Callithrix jacchus: one gene and its partner. The protein of the gene in region 2 interacts with the protein of the main gene of each other region in a biochemical or structural test. Links are inferred from orthologs where the notes say so. Each region holds a gene or a part of one and is shown on either strand. Other genes may lie near its edges.

Evidence for each region. The genes of interacting proteins can lie anywhere in the genome.
Region 1: the proteins of MAVS (region 2) and IRF3 form a complex in vitro, tested with the Homo sapiens proteins (2 studies listed by BioGRID). The link is inferred for Callithrix jacchus from reciprocal best matches to the Homo sapiens genes MAVS and IRF3.

What each region holds. Positions count from the first base shown.
Region 1 is NC_133523.1:43,425,295-43,435,337, reverse strand, and holds IRF3 (interferon regulatory factor 3), read left to right. Parts: upstream 1-3,865; 5' UTR 3,866-4,152; coding exon of another isoform or gene 4,153-4,159; 5' UTR 4,160-4,331; coding exon 4,332-4,425; intron 4,426-4,861; coding exon 4,862-5,034; intron 5,035-5,183; exon of another isoform or gene 5,184-5,265; intron 5,266-5,919; coding exon 5,920-6,091; intron 6,092-6,175; coding exon 6,176-6,246; intron 6,247-6,840; coding exon 6,841-7,033; intron 7,034-7,134; coding exon 7,135-7,515; intron 7,516-8,326; coding exon 8,327-8,442; intron 8,443-9,416; coding exon 9,417-9,602; 3' UTR 9,603-9,680; downstream 9,681-10,043. Other genes in the region: BCL2L12 (bcl-2-like protein 12), read right to left, coding at 768-854, 2,583-2,725, 2,942-3,048.
Region 2 is NC_133506.1:11,366,164-11,376,270, forward strand, and holds the start of MAVS (mitochondrial antiviral-signaling protein), read left to right. Parts: upstream 1-4,014; 5' UTR 4,015-4,322; intron 4,323-4,699; exon of another isoform or gene 4,700-4,827; intron 4,828-9,364; 5' UTR 9,365-9,431; coding exon 9,432-9,548; intron 9,549-10,107.

The sequences.
Region 1 (10,043 bases), on a different chromosome or scaffold from region 2:
CACTCCCCCAATCCCCACATTCATTCTTTCCCGACTTGGCCAATCTCTTCCAGACCATGACCACACCCTCTGCATTTAGGCCACGCCCCTCTAACGATCAAAACCCCTAATTTACAGTACAGCACTATCCTAACCACACTGCTGTCATTCAACCATTCTTTTTTCTTTCTTTGTTTTTGAGACAGAGTCTTGCTCTGTCGCCCAGGCTGGAGTGCAGTGGCAGTATCTTGGCTCATTGCAACCTCTGCCTCCTGGGCTCAAGTGACTCTCTCGCCTCAGCCAGCTGGGATTACAGGTGTGAGCCACTGCACCCGGCTAATTTTTGTATTTTTAGAAGAGACAGGGTTTCACCGTGTTGGCCGGGCTGGTCTTAAACTCCTGATCTCAGGTGTTCCGCCTATCCTGGCCTCCCAAAGTGCTGGGATTACAGGCGTGAGCCACCTCTCCTGGCCTCAACCCTTCATTAAACGTTGTCCTACCCTCTCTCCACTTGACCATCCAAAGAAAATACAGATCTAGCTTCTGATCCCAGTGCCCCACCATTCCGTAACTCCTGTCCTTGCCAAGGGGTGGGACAGACGCCCATCACCTTTTGGTTAATGACTTCTGCCTCCTCCTCCAGCAGGGCCACCAGCCTCCGCAGTAGGGCTTCCTTCTCTGTGAGCGGGGGACCCTGTAACTCTGCAGGCAGAAGAGAATTTGGCTGGGGGCCAAACCCTGACTATCCTCCTACCCCCATCCTTCTCTGGGGCCCCTCTGCGCCTCACCTGGGCTAGATGGAGATTTTAGTTGCTCTTCAACCAACTGTTCTAGCCGCTGGGCCACCAAGGCATAAAAGTCTGGAGTAGCTGGGCCTGGGTAAAGAGAGTTCATGACAGGATTCCAGGACACTGGAAACATAGATTCTCTCCTTCCCCCGACTACTTTGGCAGGTGGCAATGATTCTCATTTTATAATGGGGTAAACTGAGGCCCAGTGAGAAAACTTGGTAAAAAATGTCAAAACCCTTGCACTTTTCACTTTATCATATCCTCAGACTGGACTTAGAACGTCAGAGTTGGCCGGGTGCAGTGGCTCATGCCTGCAATCCCAGCACTTTGGGAGGCCAACATGGGAGGGTCACTTCAGGCCAGGAGTTTGAGGCCAGCCTGGCCAACATGGGAAACCCTGTGTCTACTAAAAATGCAAAAATCAACTGGTATGCTGGTGTGCACCTGTAATCCCAGGCACTTGGGAGGCTGAGACACAAGAATCGCTGGAATCCAGGAGGTGGGGGTTGCAGTGAGTCGAGATTGTACCACTGCTCTCCAGCCTGGGTGACAGAGCAAGATTCTGTCTCCAAAAGATGGTCAGAGCTGAACTAGACCTCGAAGATGATCTCATCCAAGGAAGGCAAACACAAGACACTACTGTTAGTATCCCCTTCCCTCACCCACTTCAGACATCACCAATTGATCACAGCACTTCCTCTCCCTAGCTGTGAACCGCTTTCAAGCTAGCACTCCCAGCAGCCATAACTAGTGCATCCAGGTTCACACCTACGAGGAAGCTTGTTGGTTACTCTTGATCAAGTCCAGTGATCTCCTCTCAATTCCTACACTGTTATGGAAAAACAGGGGAGCCGGGCAGCAAGCATTTTCCCTAGAGTCACACAACTAAAACAGCCAGGGTGACGTGATGGAAAACCTCTCCTGCCTCTCTATCAGGGGTATTCCTGGCTACAAAAGTCCTAGGGCAGGGAAGTAGTTATAGAAGCAAAGAGACAACAGCCAGAGCGACCAAATGCTCTCTGAAAACCAACCCACAGAACTGGCAGAAATCTGACTAGGGAGGGGAGAGGACAGGTTCCGTCCTGAAGGCTGGTGTCAAAGACTCCACAAAGCCACTCACTAGCTGAGTGATCTTCTATTTTTTTTTTTTTTTTTTTTGAGACAGAGTTTCGCTCTTGTTACCCAGACTGGAGTGCAATGGCGCGATCTTGGCTCACCGCAACCTCCGCCTCCCGGGTTCAGGCAATTCTCCTGCCTCAGCCTCCCGAGTAGCTGGGATTACAGGCACGTGCCACCATGCCCAGCTAACTTTTTGTATTTTTAGTAGAGATGGGGGTCTCACCATGTTGACCAGGATGGTCTCGATCTCTTGACCTCATGATCCACCCGCCTCGGCCTCCCAAAGTGCTGGGATTACAGACTTGAGCCACCGCGCCTGGCCTATTTTTTTTTTTTGAGACAGTCTTGCTCTTGTTGCTCAGGCTGGAGTGCAGTGGCACAATCTTGGCTCACTGTAACCCCCGCCTCCTGGGTTCAAGTGATTCTCCTGCCTCAGACTCCTGAGTAGCTGGGATTTCAGGCACCTGCCACTATCGCCAGGCTAATTTTTGTACTTTTAGTAGAGATGGGGTTTCATCATGTTGGCCAGGCTGGTCTTGAACTCCTGACCGCCTGTGATCCGCCCACTTTGGCCTCCCGAAGTGCTGGGATTACAGGCATGAGCCACCGTGCCTGGTCATAGTTAAATAATCTTAAACTACTACCTTATCCCATGTTCTGCCACTTTCACAGATGATCATGGAAATCTCTTACCAGGCTCTGAACCGTAGCAGGGGCGGATGGGCAGAGAGCAAGGCCGAGGGGACTCAGGGGGGGCTGCTCCTCGCCCCAGGGAGCAGGGAAGACATCTTCGAAGGCGGCTCAGGAAGTCTGTTGGCTCTTCTGGGGCAGGGCTTCTGGGGAGGAGGACTTCAGAGAGTGACCCCACCAGAGATCCTCTGTAAGTCACTTTTCTCAACTCACTCCCTCCCCCACTGAGGACCTCTCTCCAAAACCCCAAAGACAGAGAATAGAGTCAGATATAAAGAGAGGAGAGAGACTGAGACCAGGAGCAAGAGTTAGGAGGGGGCCTCAAATCCTGGCCCCTCGGGGAGAAGCACAACTCCTGTTACCTGGGTGAAGTTGCAACAGGAGACCCGGCAGTCTCACCACGCCTGAGGAAGGCAGCTAGGACCCTCAGCGTGTCTTCCCGGAGACCCAGCTCTTCTGAGCCTGCCATGGAGGCACCTATGAGAGAGGGGGCTAGGGACTGAACTCCAAGGATTTATCGAGAAGTGGAGGCTTGAGGACCGGGAGTTGTGAGTCCCAAGGAAGGTGATGAGGGCCCGGACTCCTGGGTCCTTTGGAGAGTGTGGGTCTGGGCGCTTAGACTCTTGAGTCCTCAGACAGAAGAGGGAACAGGACAGACTCATTAATCCAAGGAAAGCTAGGGGGTGGGTGCCCAGATTCGTGGACCTAAAGGAGGAGGGAGCTAGGGTCCTAGATTCCTGAGTCTTAGAGAGAAAGGAACTGGAGCCCCTGACCCTTATGTCTCCCAGGGAGAAGGGGCTTAGCGCCCCAACTCCTGGATTCTGAAAGAGGTATATGCCGAACTACTCAAACTCTTAAAGCATCGGGAACTACCAATCCCAGCAGGCTTTACGGCAAATCTTCTCCTCGGTCCCCGCTTCTTCGCCGCACAGCCTGCTGGGAGGTGTATTTCCAAATCTCCTGCTCCTGGAATATACACTTGGATGTCGGAGAAGCGGGACTGGGTTCTCACTCCTGCATCCCGGCCGCCTCCTCTTCCCTCCACACCCCGACCCTCGGCAACACTCCGCTGACCTGGTCCGGGGCCCCACCGCCGCCACCTCCACTCAACTTGCCGCCTTCTTCACTCAACTCGTACAAAACTTTCTAGGTCAACTTTCCCGCCCCTGCGCACTGGGCCGGGTGGGTAACCGGCCCAACGTAGAAAAGGCGGAACGCTGGCTGCACGCTCAATTTGCATTTGACGCTCCCAGCATGCCTCTGGCCGGAAAGCCGAAAAAGGGCATGGGGGCGGGGACAGCCCGGGCCCTACGGCCTGTCCCTTCGGCTCTGGGTTCTGTCACTCAAAGAATGATAAAGTTGTTTTTATTTCAAGAAGTCGTTGGAAAAGAAAGTCCCAGCGCTCTAGAACTCAGCTGACGGGAAAGCGGGTGTTCAGCCTCGAGTTTGAGAGCTACCCGGAGCCCCAAGACGGGTGGGCTCCAGCTCCCCGCACGCCCCGACCTTCCATCGTAGGTAACGCGGAAGAGCCCGGGAGAGCGTTGGTGGCGTTCGAGAACGAGGAGCGGGAAAGATGATGGGTCTGTACGGAAAGTGGAAAGGCAGGCTGTATAATCTGGGGAAAGTGGAGAAAGGAGGGAGTGGCCGGCGCTGGAGGTCTGTTGCAGAAAAACTAGAAAAAGTAGGGAGGGAAGAGAAAGAGGAGGCGTCTACACTGAGGGAGATCTAGAGAGGGAGGGGTGGACTCCGCAGATGCGGGCAGTTCGCTCTCGAAAGCTGAGGCGTGCTCTGGAGGAGGGAGGCTGGCAGTCGAGGGAGCATTGTGGATGGAGGTTCTGCGTTGGAAGTAGGTAGGGGATCTTCTCTAGGGGGACTGTGGAAGGGGGTCTACACTGGGCTAAGTGCAGGCGGTAGAGGCTTACAAGTGAATCGATTCTGCACTGACATAGCTAGGGAAAGAGATGTTACCCTGAAAGTGGGGTTACTTGCTTTCGATATGGGGAAAGAGGGGGTCTACACTGGCAGAATTGAGGGAGTGGAGGGTCTGTACTGAAGTCGCTGGGGAAGGGTGTGCCATGGATAGGGGAAGGAACCCTAGCTGATTAGGGAGCCTCTCTGGCGGATGGGAGGATGGGAAGAGGAGGTTTCCTGTTTGTACCCCCGAAAACATGGGTGAAGGACCTGTGCCGTAGCCCATGACAGGGAGTTCTGGGCGCGGAAACTCCAGGCCAGGTGGGTCCAGGAGAGGCCGGCCGCGCCCAGGAAATGCCCTGTACGCGCAGGCCGGACCATGGGAACCCCAAAGCCACGGATCCTGCCCTGGCTGGAGTTGCAGCTGAATCTGGGGCAGCTGGAGGGTGTGGCCTGGGTGAATGAGAGCCGCACGCGCTTCCGCATCCCTTGGAAACACGGTCTACGGCATGATGCACAGCAGGAGGATTTCGGAATCTTCCAGGTGCGTGCGACCAGGGACGCTGGAAACCAGGAGCTGCGCGCTGGGCGGGAAAGACTCCGAGAGGCAGGGTTGAGAAGGCGGCGGTAGCGCGCGAGGGGCGGGCTCGTGTCAACGCTGGTGGGTGGGGCCAGAACGGGAGGGGCGGGGCTAGCCGGATCAGCTGACTGATGGGGGCGCCGGGAGGGTCGGAGTTGCCGGTTCCGGGAATAGAACTAGAACTGGGAGAGCCGGGTTAGTACGCAATGAAAATGCATCCTATGGGTTTGGAGCTCTCTAGGGGCCGGGGTTCCTAGTAGTAGGATCCTGGGGGATTGTTCTTGAAACATCAGAGGTGAGACTTGGAGCCCCAAATCTGGGGTTCCTAACCACCGAATTAGTATAAGCCAGACGTGGTAAACAGTGTGAGGGACGAGGTTATCACCGAGGGTGTCCTGAGGCAGGTGGTGCACGGGGTTAGTAGGACTTGAAAGCCTGGCTTAGAAAGAAAAGGTTTTTGGGGGGCGCGGTGGTTCACATAGAATCCCAGTACTTTGGCAAGGCCGAGGCTAGAGGATCGCTTGAGCCCCGGAGTTTGAGACCAGCCTGGGCAACACAGGCCCCGTCTCGTTAAAAACAAAAGAGGTTTCAAAGGCTTTTGAAGAGGCGGGGCGCGGTAACTCACGCCTGTAATCCCAGCACGTTGGGAGGCTGAGGCAGGCAGATCATTCTAGAAAACTAGAGGTGGGGATGGAGGTAGGTGGGATGGGGGGATTTGGGGATGGACCTTGCAGAGTTACAACTTGCCAGGGAAAGAGGGTGGTGTTAGGATGCCGGAGACAGGGTTGGGGCTCCGGGACAGGATCTAGGTCGTCCTCTCTCACTATCCTCACACCACTGTTGCCCCAGGCCTGGGCTGAGGCCACTGGTGCATACGTTCCCGGGAGAGATAAGCCAGACCCGCCAACCTGGAAGAGGAATTTCCGTTCTGCCCTCAACCGCAAAGATGGATTGCGTTTAGCAGATGACCGAAGCAAGGACCCTCACGACCCACATAAGATCTACGAGTTTGTGAACTCAGGTCTGCCAGATCGGGGTCAGTGTGGGAGGCTGGGGTCCCAAGGGTTCCTGGCACCCCTAGCCACTTCAACACCTTTCTCAACAGCAGTTGGGAACTTTGCCCAGCCAGACACATCTCCAGACACCAGTGGCGGAGGCAGTACTTTTGATACCCAGGTAAGAATGTGCCCAACCTTCACGCCCCCACTGTCTGTCCTGTTCCCATGGACTCATCCTCTCCCTGTGGACCAGTGCGCCTCCCTCACCTCGTCTGCCCCTCACCTGAGCCAGTGCTGGCCCTGTCTGTCCCATGCTCCAGTCTCCTCAGGAGAAAATTCAGTCTTCACTTGGCATTGAAGGCACTCAATTTGCATTTGACACGCCTTCCCGGGATTTCCTGTAGATCCTTGATTGGCGGGGGGAGGGGGGGAGTGGGGGGACGGCTGTCTGTCAGCCTCTTGGGAACTGAAAACCTCCCTCCCTCCCCTTGATCCTGCCGCTGTCAGAGCCAGGGGAGCATCCCCTCTGAAATTCTGCCCAGGCCTTGCCTGCAGAAAGCCAGATCCTGGGGTTGGAATGGTAGCATGTGGCATTCATTAGAGTGTCTATTTGGCTATTGATGCCCGTGGCTGCCACTGTCCCCAGACTGGAAGCCCTCTGAAAGCAGAGCTCAAGCCTGACCTCCCTGCACTGCTGAGAACAGACCTGGTCCACATTTAGTCTCCAGAAAAGGCTGTGGAAATGCCTAATTCTCTTTTTGTTTCCCTCTAGGAAGACATTCTGGATGAGTTACTGGGTAACATGGTCTTGGCCCCACTCCCAGATTCGGGACCACCAGGCCTGGCTGTAGCCCCTGAGCCCTACCCTCAGCCCCTGCTGAGCCCCAGCTTGGATAATCCCACGCCCTTCCCAAACCCGGAGCCCTCTGAGAATCCACTGAGGCGGCTGCTGGTGCCGGGGGAAGGTGAGGGTCAGCTGCCGGATAGGAGGGGCTGAGGTCTGGGTAGCAGTCCCTGACACTCTCTCAATCCTTCTCCCCTTCACGCTGCTACTGCCGCTGCTCAGAGTGGGAGTTCGAGGTGACAGCCTTCTACCGGGGCCGCCAAGTCTTCCAGCAGACCATCTCCTGCCCAGGGGGCCTGCGGCTGGTGGGGTCGGAAGTGGCAGACAGGACGCTGCCTGGATGGCCCATCACACTGCCAGACCCTGGCGCATCCCTGACAGACAAGGGCGTGATGACCTATGTGAGGCACGTGCTGAGCCGCCTGGGTGGGGGACTGGCTCTGTGGCAGGCCGGACAGCAGCTCTGGGCCCAGCGGCTGGGGCAGTGCCACACGTACTGGGCAGTGAGCGAGGAGTTGCTCCCCAACAGTGGGAATGGGCCTGATGGCGAGGTTCCCAAGGACAAGGAAGGAGGCGTGCTCGACCTGGGACCCTTCATTGTAGGTAAGTGAGATGGGGGCTTTGCCCTGCCCAGGAGGAAGCAGCCCATTAGTGGTTAAGATCTCAGGATTAGGACTGAATTCAGACCCTGGCTGTGCTCCTCCGACTGTATAACCCGAGGGAAAGGACTTTGCCCTGAGCCCACGGAATCCGAGGACGGTCTCTTCTCTCTACTTGCCTGCCAGCGCTGGGGTGAGACCCAGGCCGAGTACGTAGAGCGTGCTCAGGAATTAGCTCCCACTGTCACCATCATCGTAACTAATGATGGTGGATAGAGCAAACAGCAGGAAAGCTGCGTGCCTTAGGGAGTCGCTCTGCGGCGGAGCGCTCCACGATGATGGAAATGGCCACCTACGCTGCCTGGTACAGCAGCCACTAGCTACAGGGCCCAAGCACTCAGGTGAGGCCCGTGCCACCAGGACGTGGTTCGCTTTAATTAGTTACAGTTTAAACTTAAGTGACCTCACATTGCCGATGGCTGCAATTAGTGCAGCCTTGGAGGAGACTAAATGGCAACCAGCTTCTCCAGATTCACTGAGCATCCTTGGGGGAATGGGCCCCTACTCTGGACCTGTCATGAATGCTGAGGCTTGGGGGCTGGGGGGGTTCAACCTTCCAACAATCCCACCCTGACGGGAGGGAGGGATTAAGTACAAAAACAGGATCATGGGGACTTTCCCCAAACAAGCATTCCCTGGTGGAGGTAGCAGAGGGCCTCAGGTCGGGGGAGGTAGGGGGTGCTATTTTCAAGTTTATGGGGAAGCAGGGGTAGAGGGACCTCTTCTCACCCCTGACTAGGCTTCTGGGTTCCCAGATCTGATTACCTTCACTGAAGGAAGCGGACGCTCACCACGCTATACCCTCTGGTTCTGTGTTGGGGAGCCATGGCCCCAGGACCAGCCATGGACCAAGAGGCTCGTGATGGTCAAGGTGCCTGTAGCCCTGAGTCCCTGGGGCTGAGAGGGGTGGCCTTACAGAGGGAAGAGGCTGCTCCCAGGAACTGCAACTCCCAGAAGGCCCTCCAAAAAGCTGCAACTTCCAAGAGCCCTGCAGTAACCAGCTGTTCATCCCCAGGAGCTCCTTCCCATGGCCCCACCAGCAGAGCCTGTTTTCAACTTTCTAAACCAGCAGTCCCCGAGCATTTTGGCACCAGGGACCAGTCTCATGGAACATAATTTTTCCACAGAAAGGGAGGGGGTGGCTTTGGGAAGAAACTGCCCCACTGCAGATCATCAGGCATTAGATTCTCATAAGGAACAATCTAGGTCCCTCTTGTGCACAGTTCACAAAGAGTTTGTGCTCCTGTGAGAATCTAATGCCACCGATCTGAGAGAAGACCGAGTTCAGGCAGTAATGTTCCCTCACCCACTGCTCATGCCCTGCTGTGCCCTGGTTCCTAGCAGGTGATGGGGTTGGGGACCCCTGCTCTAAACCATGTAGAAGCTGGTGGACACCAAGTCCTAGCTGCCATTGTGAGGCCATGGCTGTGGCTCCAGGAGTCAGGATCATAGATTGCTCAGCCTTGACTCCTGGGAGCACTCTGGCCTGGCACACGCACACGCGTGTGTGTGTAAAGAGGGGAAACTTGGCCGGGCGCGGTGGCTCAAGCCTGTAATCCCAGCTACTCAGGAGGCTGAGGCAGGAGGATTGCCTGAACCCAGGAGGCGGAGGTTGCAGTGAGCTGAGATCGTGCCATTGCACTCCAGCCTGGGTAACAAGAGCAAAACTCCATCTCAAAAAACAAAAAAAAGGGGAAACTACAACTCCCAGCAGCCCAGGGCCTATGGTTCATCCTGGCTTACAGCGGGGGCTGAAGGGAGTTGTAGTTCTCCCAGCCCTGACTCCTACCTCGGTGGACACTGGCTGGGTGTTTTCCCTGACTCCTGTCCCCACTTCCCCCACAGGTTGTGCCCACATGCCTCAGGGCCTTGGTAGAGCTGGCCCGGGCAGGGGGTGCCTCCTCCCTGGAGAACACAGTGGAACTGCACATTTCCAACAGCCACCCACTCTCCCTCACCTCTGACCAGTACAAGGCCTACCTGAAGGACTTGGTGGAGGACATGGATTTCCAGGGCCCTGGGGAGGCCTGAGCCCTCACTCCTCATAGTGTGGCCTCTAGCCCCCCCTCCCCGCCCACCACCCCAACCAATAAACTGGTTCCTGCTGTAGTCACTGCTTGTGTGTCTGGTGTTGGGTGCCCTCTGACCCAAGCTGCTTGATATTCCTGGTCAGGGTCTCAGTTTACCCATCTGTGCAGCTGTGCACAACTCAGGTGCTCAATGCATGAGGACCAAGCACTGCAGGGGACAGCTGACCCTCCTCACCTCTTCCCAGGGACCTGCTGGGTGATGGCTGCCCCCATTTTGTAGACCAAGACACAGGCTTCGAGAGGCACAAAGTTGAGGAAACACAAAGGCCGGCCAGAACTGAGGTCCCTGCCGTGCTATGAAGTTTGGGCAAACAGCCCTTCTCCTTCCAGGCCTCACGCCCCCCGTGTGGGGCTGGAGGGGAGCAGTGCTAGAGAGGCTCTG
Region 2 (10,107 bases):
AGCAGTCACCCCTGGGTGGTGGCATTATGGTTTTTTTGCTTTTTTGAGATGGAGTGTCGCTCTGCCACCCAGGCTAGAGTGCAGTGGTATGATCTTGGCTCCTGGGTTCAAGCGATTCTCCTGTCTCAGCCTCCTGAGCAGCTGGGGTTACAGATGTTGCCACCAAGCATGACTAATCTTTGTAGATGGTGGCATTATGAATATGGATTTTGGTTTTCTTCATCAAATATTTCTGTTTTCCCCACATTAGCTGTAAAAAGTATATATATATGTAAATAAGTTGACAGATTGAACAAATTGAACAGTTTAAAGAATAGCTGTGTAAGTGCAGTGGAGTCTGCCTGTGGTCCTAGCTACTTGAGAAGTTTAGGCAGAAGGATTGCCTGAGCCCAGGAGTTCAAGACCAACTTGAGCAATGTGGTAAGACCTTTGTTTATTTTTAAAATAAATAAATAAAAAATAAAGAATAACTGTTTAAAATATTATTCAAAATGAATTCATAAAGGTGGGATTATATTTTTAGTCTCAGTTTCCCGAAGGACTCACACCTGAGAACATGACCATGTTTGGGGCTCTCTGGCACTATCTTTGGGCCTGACCTCTGCTCTCTAGGGGGAAAATGAGCTGGTGGTTGCTGAGTCATCATGTATGGGTCACATCCTCCTTGGGAGGCCTGGAGACATGGGCCTGTCTGTGATGAGATTTAGTGGGCAGGGGGCAGCTCCAGGGCCCTCACTGGGGGCAGCCTAGGGCATAGATCACTCTCTGGACTTGCTCTTCTCCTAACAAATGGACAATGATCAATGAATTATACCCATGAAATAGGGTGGGACACAATAAAAAATAAAAGATAATATAAATAGCCAGATAGGGTCAAAGATGATTTATTTTACTTTATAATTTTGAAATGACTTCAGATTTACAACATAGTTGCAAAAATAATGCAAATGTTTACATCTTACATAACCCAGTGCAATGATCCTAACACTGACAGATAATCGTTAACTAATCCAAAAGCCTTATTCGGATTTTGCCTGATGTCCTTTTTCTGTTTCAGGATCCAACAAGGTTCCCATATTGCATTCAGTTATCATGTCACTTTGGTGTCCTTTTCTCTGGAGCAGTCGCTCAGTCTCCTTGTCTTTCCTGACCTTGAAATTTTTGAAGAGTTATTCTGCAGAGCGGTGCTATCCAATAGAACTTCCAGCAATCATGGAAATGTTGTTAGTGTTGCTCACTATGAAGCCATTAGCTACATGAAAATAGCATTTGAAATGTGGCTCGTGGGGCTCAGAAACTGGCTTCTAAGTATTATTTAATTTTAATTAAAATAGCTACATGTGGCTAGTAGCCACTGTATTGGACAGGACAGCTGTCAAATGTCCCTCATTTGGGGTTTGCTTACTGTTTCTCTATGAGTAGTTTCAGATCATGAGCTTTTGATAGGAATACCATAAGCATGTCGTTGTGTTCTTTATCTAAATTTTTATAAAAGCTGTTGAGGGCCTGGTATGGTGGCACATGCCTGTAATCCCAGCACTTTGGGAGGCTGAGGTGGGTGGATCATGAGGTCAGGAGATCCAGACCATCCTGGCCAATATGGTGAAACCCCGTCTCTACTAAAATACAAAAAAATTAGCTGGGTATGGTGGTGCACACCTGTAGTCCCAGCTACTCAGGAGGCTGAGGCAAGGGAATGTCTTGAAACCAGGTGGCAGAGGATGCTGTGAGCCGAGGTTGTGCCACTGTACTACAGCCTGGGCGACAGAGCAAGACTCCGTCTCAAAAAAAAAGCTGTTGACAGGTGACAGGGAACTACCTAGTCAGGCAGTGGGATTGTTTTAATGCCCTTTGAGGTCCAGCAAAGAAAGGAGTGATAGCCGCATTTGGAACCCTGTCCCAACACTTTCAATGTTCTTCCTCAAAGAATTAGATATGAAGCTGCTAGAGCACAGTGGGGAGCAGGCAAGATTGATTCTTGAACTAATCAACATTTATGCCCTCTTGGCTAAACTAGGCAGAGCTGGTTTTATTACAGTACAGACGTGAATAAGCACACTTTGTAAATGCTGAAGGTTGTGAAATATCCACAGGGCTATAAAGTACAGTATAAAAACCTCACCTGAGGCCGGGCCTGGTGGCTCATGCCTGTAATCCCAGCGCTTTGGGAAGCGGAGGCGGGTGGATCACCTGAGGTCAGGAGTTCAAGACCAGCCTGGCCAACATGGAGAAACCCCCTCTACTAAAAATAGAAAAATTAGCCGGGGGTGGTGGCGTGGGCCTATAATCTCAGCTGCTCAGGAGGCTGAGGCAGGAGAATTGCTTAAACCCAGAAGTAGAGGTTGCAGTGAGCAGAGATTGTGCCATTGCACTCCAGCCTCGGTGACAAGAGTGATACTCCGCCTCAAAACACTGGCTTTGGAGTCAAGCCTGTACTTAGGCATCTTAAGTCTTCTTTTTTAAAATTGCAGTATATAGTAACACATGACCTTCAGTGAGTGTACAGCTAATACATTTTTACATAGGCTTTAGCTCTGGTATGCAGTATATAGTAACACATGACCTTCAGTGAGTGTACAGCTAATACATTTTTACATAGGCTTTAGCTCTGGTACCCACCACTCACATCAAGATGTAGAATATTTCCACTCCCCTAGAAGGTGTGCATCCCTCCCCTCCCCCAATCGACATCCCCCAGAAATTACCAGTATTTAATTTATACTTATGTAGATTCGTTTTGTCTGTTTTTGAACTTTATATGACTGGAAGCAGACAGAATGTGCTCTTTAGTGTTTGGTTCCATTCACTAAGCACTATTTAGCTGCTGGTGCCCACTCAACTGTGGGAAGATCCTCCTATGTCTGTGTGTCAATAGTTTGTTCATTTTCACTGTGGTATACTATTCCATAGTGTGATTACACCATAGTTTGTCTTTCTGTTTTCCTGCTGATGACCATTTGCGTTTTCGGATTTTGCCTATCATGAATAAGTCAGTACAAACATTATCTAGGTGTATGTTTCTAGGTAGATATATACCCAGGGGCGAAATTGCTGGGTCATAGGATTAGCATACGTTTAACTTCAGTAACAACTGTCATTTTTCCAAATCTCTTTTTTCTTTTAAGATGAGGTTTCACCATGATGGCCAGGCAGGTCTTGAACTCCTGACCTCAGGTGATCCACCCACCTCAGCCTCCCAAAGTGCTAGGATTACAGGCGTGAGCCACCGCGCCCGGCTCCAAATCTCTTAAACTCTTTTTAAAACAGGAAGAATAAACCTACTCTACCTGATTATCGTGAGCGTATTTAATGAACTCTAAAGAATAAGGTTTTAAGCCTTGTGCCTGGAAGACAGTAGGTGCTCAATAAGTGCTGGCCTCTGCCCCAGCAGGGGAAAGGCGAGGCAGAAGGCAGGAACTGCGGGAGGTACCCGCCCCATACCGTTGGGCGGAAGAGGCCTCTCCCACGCAGCACTTAAGTCACCCCCAGCCTGCCCGTCAGCCAGTTTGGCGTGCCTGCCTTGGGCCTACCCACCCTGCATTCCGTCGCCCGCTCCCGTTCCCACAGGCCCGGCGTGCGCGTCTCCTGCCTAGGCATCCTTGCCCCTGTGACTTCAGCGTCTCCCAGCGTTTGCTGGACACTAACTGTATGCCAGGCCATGAGGCTGCAGGAGAGAACGACACGAAGATCCTCGCCCCTCAAAGCTCCCGGCAGGAGGAGGGGCTGCTTCACTTGAGAAGCGTGGGGATGGAATTCTCAGCCCGCCAATGACTCGGAGGCCGGCCGCCCGCCTGGTTTCTGGCCGGACACTGGACTTCCCCTGGAAGTTGCTCGAGACGAACAAGGGAAGAAAACAATCCGCTCTCCCGCGCCCCCAGCAGGAAATCAGGTCGATCCTCCGAGCCTAGTCCTGTGTGTCCCCGACCCGCAAACCAAGGCCCAGCGCCCGCCCCCGCCTCTCCGTCCCTGAGCCTCCAGCCAATCACGCGCGGCCGGGAAGCCCCGCACCCTCCTGTTGGCCAATGGCCGCGCGGCCTGCCTGCCCCGTCCCGTCGCTGCGGGGAGGGTCGTAGGCCCCGCGCGGCTGTCGCCAGGTCGCAGGGCCGGGGCTACCCGAGGTAAGATCGCCGCTGGGGCCCTTGGTCCTCTCTGCTCAGTACACACGGACGCCTTTAGGGAAGGTGGCTGCAGCGGAATGACCGCGTCAGCCGGGGCGCCCTGGGTCTGGGGCGCTCGGGGTTCGGGAAGAGCCGGCCCTGAGGCGCACGGGGTTCGGGGACACTGAGGGCTCCAGGCGCCGCATCCAGCACCGGGGAAAAGGGGTAGGTGGCGCTGGGCGTCTGCTCTGTCTGGGGGAAAGGTAGAGCCGGAAGGGCACGGGCAGTGGCCGCTGACCTCCTGCTGCCCGCAGGCCCAGGGTGACTCTAAGGGGGGGCCGAATCTCGACGGGCCGCGCCTTGGGCTCGAGTACTGCCGCCCTCCCCTGGGTGTGGACAGTTCTCGGCGGCGACACCAGCTCAGAAGAGCTTCCCGGCGCTCCGCGGACCTGGGTCTCGCCCAGGAATCCGATCCGAGGCTGTGAGGCCTGTCCCTTTCGGGAGGGTGGGTATTTATTTCCGGGACGCACTCAGAGCCTCTGGACAGTCAGGTCGGAAACTTTGCTGCATCGAGAACACTCTGTCACCTCCTTCCTTCTCAGATGGGAGAGGTGCCAGGAAAACAATGAAACAAACCAAAACAACGAAGAAGGCATTCTCTGTATGGAAGTCGTGAAGCCTCAAAACTATCTAGGAGGACAGCCAACGACTTGGGACCTGTGGCCGCAATGTGAGGGCAGGGTTAATGTCTGATCTAAATGTTGCTTCCTCCCAAGTGCACCCTCAGCCTCTCCCCACAAGTGACCTTGGGCCCTCTTTGGGCTTGAAGGCAGGTGGCTCTGTGGGCCTCACTTGCTGCAGGGGTCTCTGTGCCCTGCAAGGTGTATGACCAGCTGCAGTGAGGTAGGAGATTCTGGGTTCAAATCCTGTGCTAGCCTCTGGCCAATTGTGCACCTTGGCATCACTTCCCCTGTCACGGGACTGGGGAAGGATTAACTAAAAGAACCTTAGGATGTGCTTGTCTACAGTTGGCCCTCAATAAATGTGAACAGACGTGGGCTTCCTTTCCTTTTGGTTGGGCTACATCATCCCCTCCCCTCCATGTGTGTTGTAGGGGCTGAGGCTAGAGTGCCTCATCTGATTGCCTCCTGGTACCTGGCTGATGCCATGAGAAAGGAAGAAGAAACAGTGTTTTGTTTTTTTTTTTTAATGGAGTCTCACTCTGTTGCCCAGGCTGTAGTGTGATAGCCTGATCTCAGCTCACTGCAACCTCTGCCTCCCAGGTTCTAGAGATTCTCATGCCTCAGCCTCCCAAGTAGCTGGGAGTACAGGTGTCTGATGCCATGCCTGGCTAATTTTTGTATTTTTAGTAAAGACCGGGTTTTACCATGTTGGCCAGGCTGGTCTCAAACTCCTTACCTCAAGTGATCTGCCTGCCTTGGCCTCCCAAAGTGCTGGGATTACAGGCATGAGCCACCATGCTTGGCCAAGAAAGGGGTCTATTAACTGTCACAGAGTTGGTTTTTGCTCTTTTTTTTTTTTTTGAGACGGAGTCTTGCCCTGTCCCCAGCTGGAGTGCAGTGCATGATCTTGGCTCACTGCAACCTCCACTTCCCGGGTTCAAGTGATTCTCCTGCCTCGGCCTCCCAAAATGCTGGGATTATAGGTGTGAGCCACCATGCCCAGCACTTTGCTCATTTCTTGAAGGCTCAGAGCCTGACCCTCCTGAACTGTCCTTTGCACTTGGCCCACAAGGAATGCAGCAGTGCCTGGTGGTTGGCAAAGCAAGTTGTGCATGTGAGACTCTGAGGCCTGTGACAAGACTGTTTCCCCTGTGAGTGGGGTTTGGTGGCCCAGCAGCTTTCAGGTGCTGTCTGCTCCGCAGCACTGCCTCCTAGAGGTCTCATGCTTGCCTGATGCCCACTTGGTCCTCTTCTGCCTCCTTCCCTCCCTGACAGCCCACTAGGAATCCAATAGCATCTCAAGCTTCACTGTTCAAAACTGAGTTCTGGAGTTCCTTCTGAGCCACTCCTCCTCCCCTGGCTTCTCTGCTCTGGTAAATGGGCACCTGCCATCTACCCAGTGCCTAAGGAGTCATCCTTGATTTTTTTCTCTCCCTTATCTCCTACACCCTCAAAACACCAGAAATCTGGCTGCCTCCTGCCAACTCTGTAGTTTCCATCCTGGCCATAATCATCCTGTCTCCTCGGCTGTGGCCTCCTGACTGGTCTCCCAGTTTTCATCCTGGCCCCTCCACAGTTCTCACAATTGTCAGAGAAGTCTTTAATGTAAATCAGATCCTCTTCTTTCCCTGCCAGAACCTTCCAATTGGTCCCTGTTTCACTCCAACTAAAACCCAGAGTCCTTTCCTACAGCACCCTACGTGAGTGGTCCCTTTTACCTCCTTGACCTTCATCTTGCCCCTCTCCCTAGCTTTCTTAACCTTGACCACACTGACCTGCTTTCTATTCTTCAAACATGCCAAGTTCATCCCACTTTAGGACTTTTGCATTTACCATGCCCTCTGCCAAAAACACCAATCTTCTCAGAGCCTTAGAACGGCTCAGCTGTGTTCTTAACACTAGTTCAGAAAGGCTTCTTTGACCCCCTAGTTCAAGTAGCATGCCTGTCTCCAGGGGATGTGTCTCTTTACCTGCTTTATTTTCTTTAGAACCTTTATTGCTATCTGGAATTCTTATTTGGGTAAGAATTTACTGATCTGTTATTTGTTCCGCACCGGTAGAATATAAATTGGATGTGGCACAGACCTTGTCTCTTATTCCCTGCAGCATTCCCTGATGGGGGAGGCAAAAAAGAAACAAGCAAAAACATCTATAATTGCAAATTGTGGTAACTCCTACTAAACAACTGGTAGCAATAGCTTATATTTGAGGCCCTTAATTTTTTTTTTTTTTTTTTTAGACAGAGCTCCATTCTGTTGCCCAGGCTGAAGTGCAATGGCACGATTTTGGCTCACTGCAACCTCTGACTCTCGGGTTTAAGCAATTTTCTTGCCTCAGCCTCCTGAGTAGCTGGGATTGCAGGCGACCGCCACAATGCCCAGCTTAGTTTTTTGTATTTTTAGTAGAGATGGGGTTTCTCCATGTTGGCCAGGCCGGTCTCAAACTCCTGACCTCAGGTGATCCATCTACCTTGTCCTCCCAAAGTGCTAGGATTACAGGTGTGAGCCATGGCACCTGGCTGGCACTTAAAATTTTTAAACTTAGGCCGGCCACAGTGGCTCACACCTGTAATTCCAGCACTTTGGGAGGCCAAGGCAAGCGGATCACTTGAGGTCAGGAGTTCGAGACCAATCTGGAAAACATAGTGGAAACCCTGTCTCTACTAAAAAATACAAAAATTGGCCAGGCACGGTGGCCCACAACAACAAACAAAAAAGTTAGCCAGGTGTGATGGTGGGCTCCTGTAATCCCAGCTACTTGGGAGGCTGAGGCAGGAGAATTGCTTGAACCTGGGAGGCGGAGGCTGCAGTGAGCCTGGATCACACCACTGTACTCCAGCTTGGATGACAGAGGGAGACTCTGTCTCCAAAAAAAAAATAGACTTAGAAGGCTGAGTTACTGTACTGTCAAAACAAGCTATCTGAGCCATTTTAAGGGTGAGGAAAAGTCTGGAAACTGGTAACTTGCCCAGGACACACAGTGAATTCAAGGCATGGAACTCAGTCTCCCATCTTAAGAATGTATGTGGGCCGGGAGCGGTGTCTCAAACCTGTAATCCCAGCACTTTGGGAGGCCAAGGTGAGTGGATTACCTGAAGTCTGGAGTTTGAGACTAGCCTGACCAACATGGAGAAACCCCGTCTCTATTAAAAATACAAAATTAGCCTAGCATGGTGGCACATAATCCCAGCTACTTGGGAGGCTGAGGCAGGAGAATGCCTTGAACCCAGAAGGCAGAGGTTGTGGTGAGCTGAAATTGCACCATTGCACTCCAGCCTGGGCAACAAGAGTGAAACTCTGTCTCAAAAAAAGAGAGAATGTATGTGTAGCAGGCTTTAATGGCAGGCCTGCAGCTATGTCATGGAAAGAAGATGACCTGAAGATCTCAGTTCTTTGCTCTTCTACTAACTAGCAAGCATACCTCATTTTCTTCTTTAAAGTAGGATGAGCCTATTATTATCATGTTGGGCTTCACTTTTAATTTTTTCAGTATGTCCCAAAGCAGCAGCACTTTTAGGTACAGCCCTCTTGCGTATCAGCTTGAGGGCCTTAGAGCCAGGAGGAAAGCCAGGACATTCATAGGCACCGAAACTATGGTTACATACAGATCCCTCTACCACATGTGCTAGGAGTACACGCAGACCTCCCCAATGCTGACCACCCTACAGGACAGAAATGGGCCCTAGGTATTCTGGATCTGATTCTTTTTGGTCATCAACTATTTTTATTTTTTATTTTTTTTAGAGACAGGGTTTTGCTGTGTTGCCCAGGCTGGCCTCAAACACCTGGGCTCAAGAGATCCACCTGCCCTAGCTTCTCTAGTAGCTGCTGGTCATCAATTCATTTTTAGCAAATTCTGCGGGAACCTTGGAGAGACCCAGGCAGTAATAAAATAGGATGTTTAAAGAAACTAAAGATGGCTGAGCACAGTGGCTGACACTTACAATCCAAGCTACTTGACAGGCTGAGGCAGGAGGATCACTTGAGGCCAGGAGTTTGAGACCAGACTGGGCAACATGACAAGACCCTGTCTCTAGAAAAATTTTAAAAATTAGCTGGGTGTAGTGGCACAAGTCTGTAGTTCCAGCTACCTAGAATGCTGAGGCGGCAGGATTGCTTGAACGCAGGAATTTGAGGCTGCACCACTGCACCCAACTGGGGTAACAGAGTGAGACCCCATGTCTTAACAACAAAAAAGGTGGGCGTGGTGGTTCACGCCTGTAATCTCAAATCCTGGGAGACTGAGGTGGGTACATCACTTGAGGTCAGGAGTTTGTGACCAGCCTAGCCAACATGGTAAACCTACATCTCTACTAAAAATACAAAAATTAGATGGGCATGGTGGTTCACACCTATCATCTCAGCTACTTGGGAGGCAGAGGCAGGAGACACAATTGAACTCAGGAGGCAGAGGTTGCATTGAGCTGAGATTGCACCACTGCACTCCAACCTGGGTGATGCTGTCTCAAAAAAAAAAAAAATTTAAAAATGAAAGAAAACAAAAATTCCAAAAAGTTGAGAAATAATTGCCTTTTGTCCAGCCCCACTCCCAACCATGTGTAATATGTCATCTGTTTTCTTCCAGTCTCATTTCCTGTCCGTCCATCCACCCTTCATGGGGCCAGAGCCCTCTCTCCAGAATCTGAGCAGCAATGCCGTTTGCTGAAGACAAAACCTATAAGTATATCTGCAGACATTTCAGCAATTTTTGCAATGTGGATGTTGTAGAGATTCTGCCTTACCTGCCCTGCCTCACAGCAAGAGACCAGGTGAGCCAGCAAAATGACAGCCAGACACTGGCCTGGGGACAGGGCTGTGGAATCCAAAGCTCAGCCCCATCCTAGTTCCTCCCCCAAGCCAGAGCCGGCTCCTTCTCCCTCTTGCTGTGTCTTGTTCCTTGTCCTTGCTGCTTTTCTAACTTTTGGATGAAGTGTGGCTCAGGGTGGCGTTGCTGACTTCACCGAGCTCCGCCTTGTGTTGCTTTTGCGAACTGCTCAGAAATATGGTGCTGGCTCTCCTGAGATTTCCTGGCTCTGGTCCACTTGCCCACTGTTTTTAGAACCTTCTGTTTCCTTCATCTCTCTTGCCGTGCCTTGTCCTGCTCAGTTTTGATTCCATTCTCCTTGTCATGGGGCCCTGTCCTGGCAGGGAGCTGAGACTCAGGTTTGAGAGCTGGCAGGAGCCAGGTCGCTCTTGCCCCGGCACTTGCTAGCTGGTGAAGTGGGCACAATCTCTCCCCATTCAATTGTAGCTGCTGTTCTCAGGTTGGACCCCTGTGCTCCAGAGGGAACCTGTTGGCTCTTTTGGGGACTCCTGTCCTCAGGTTTC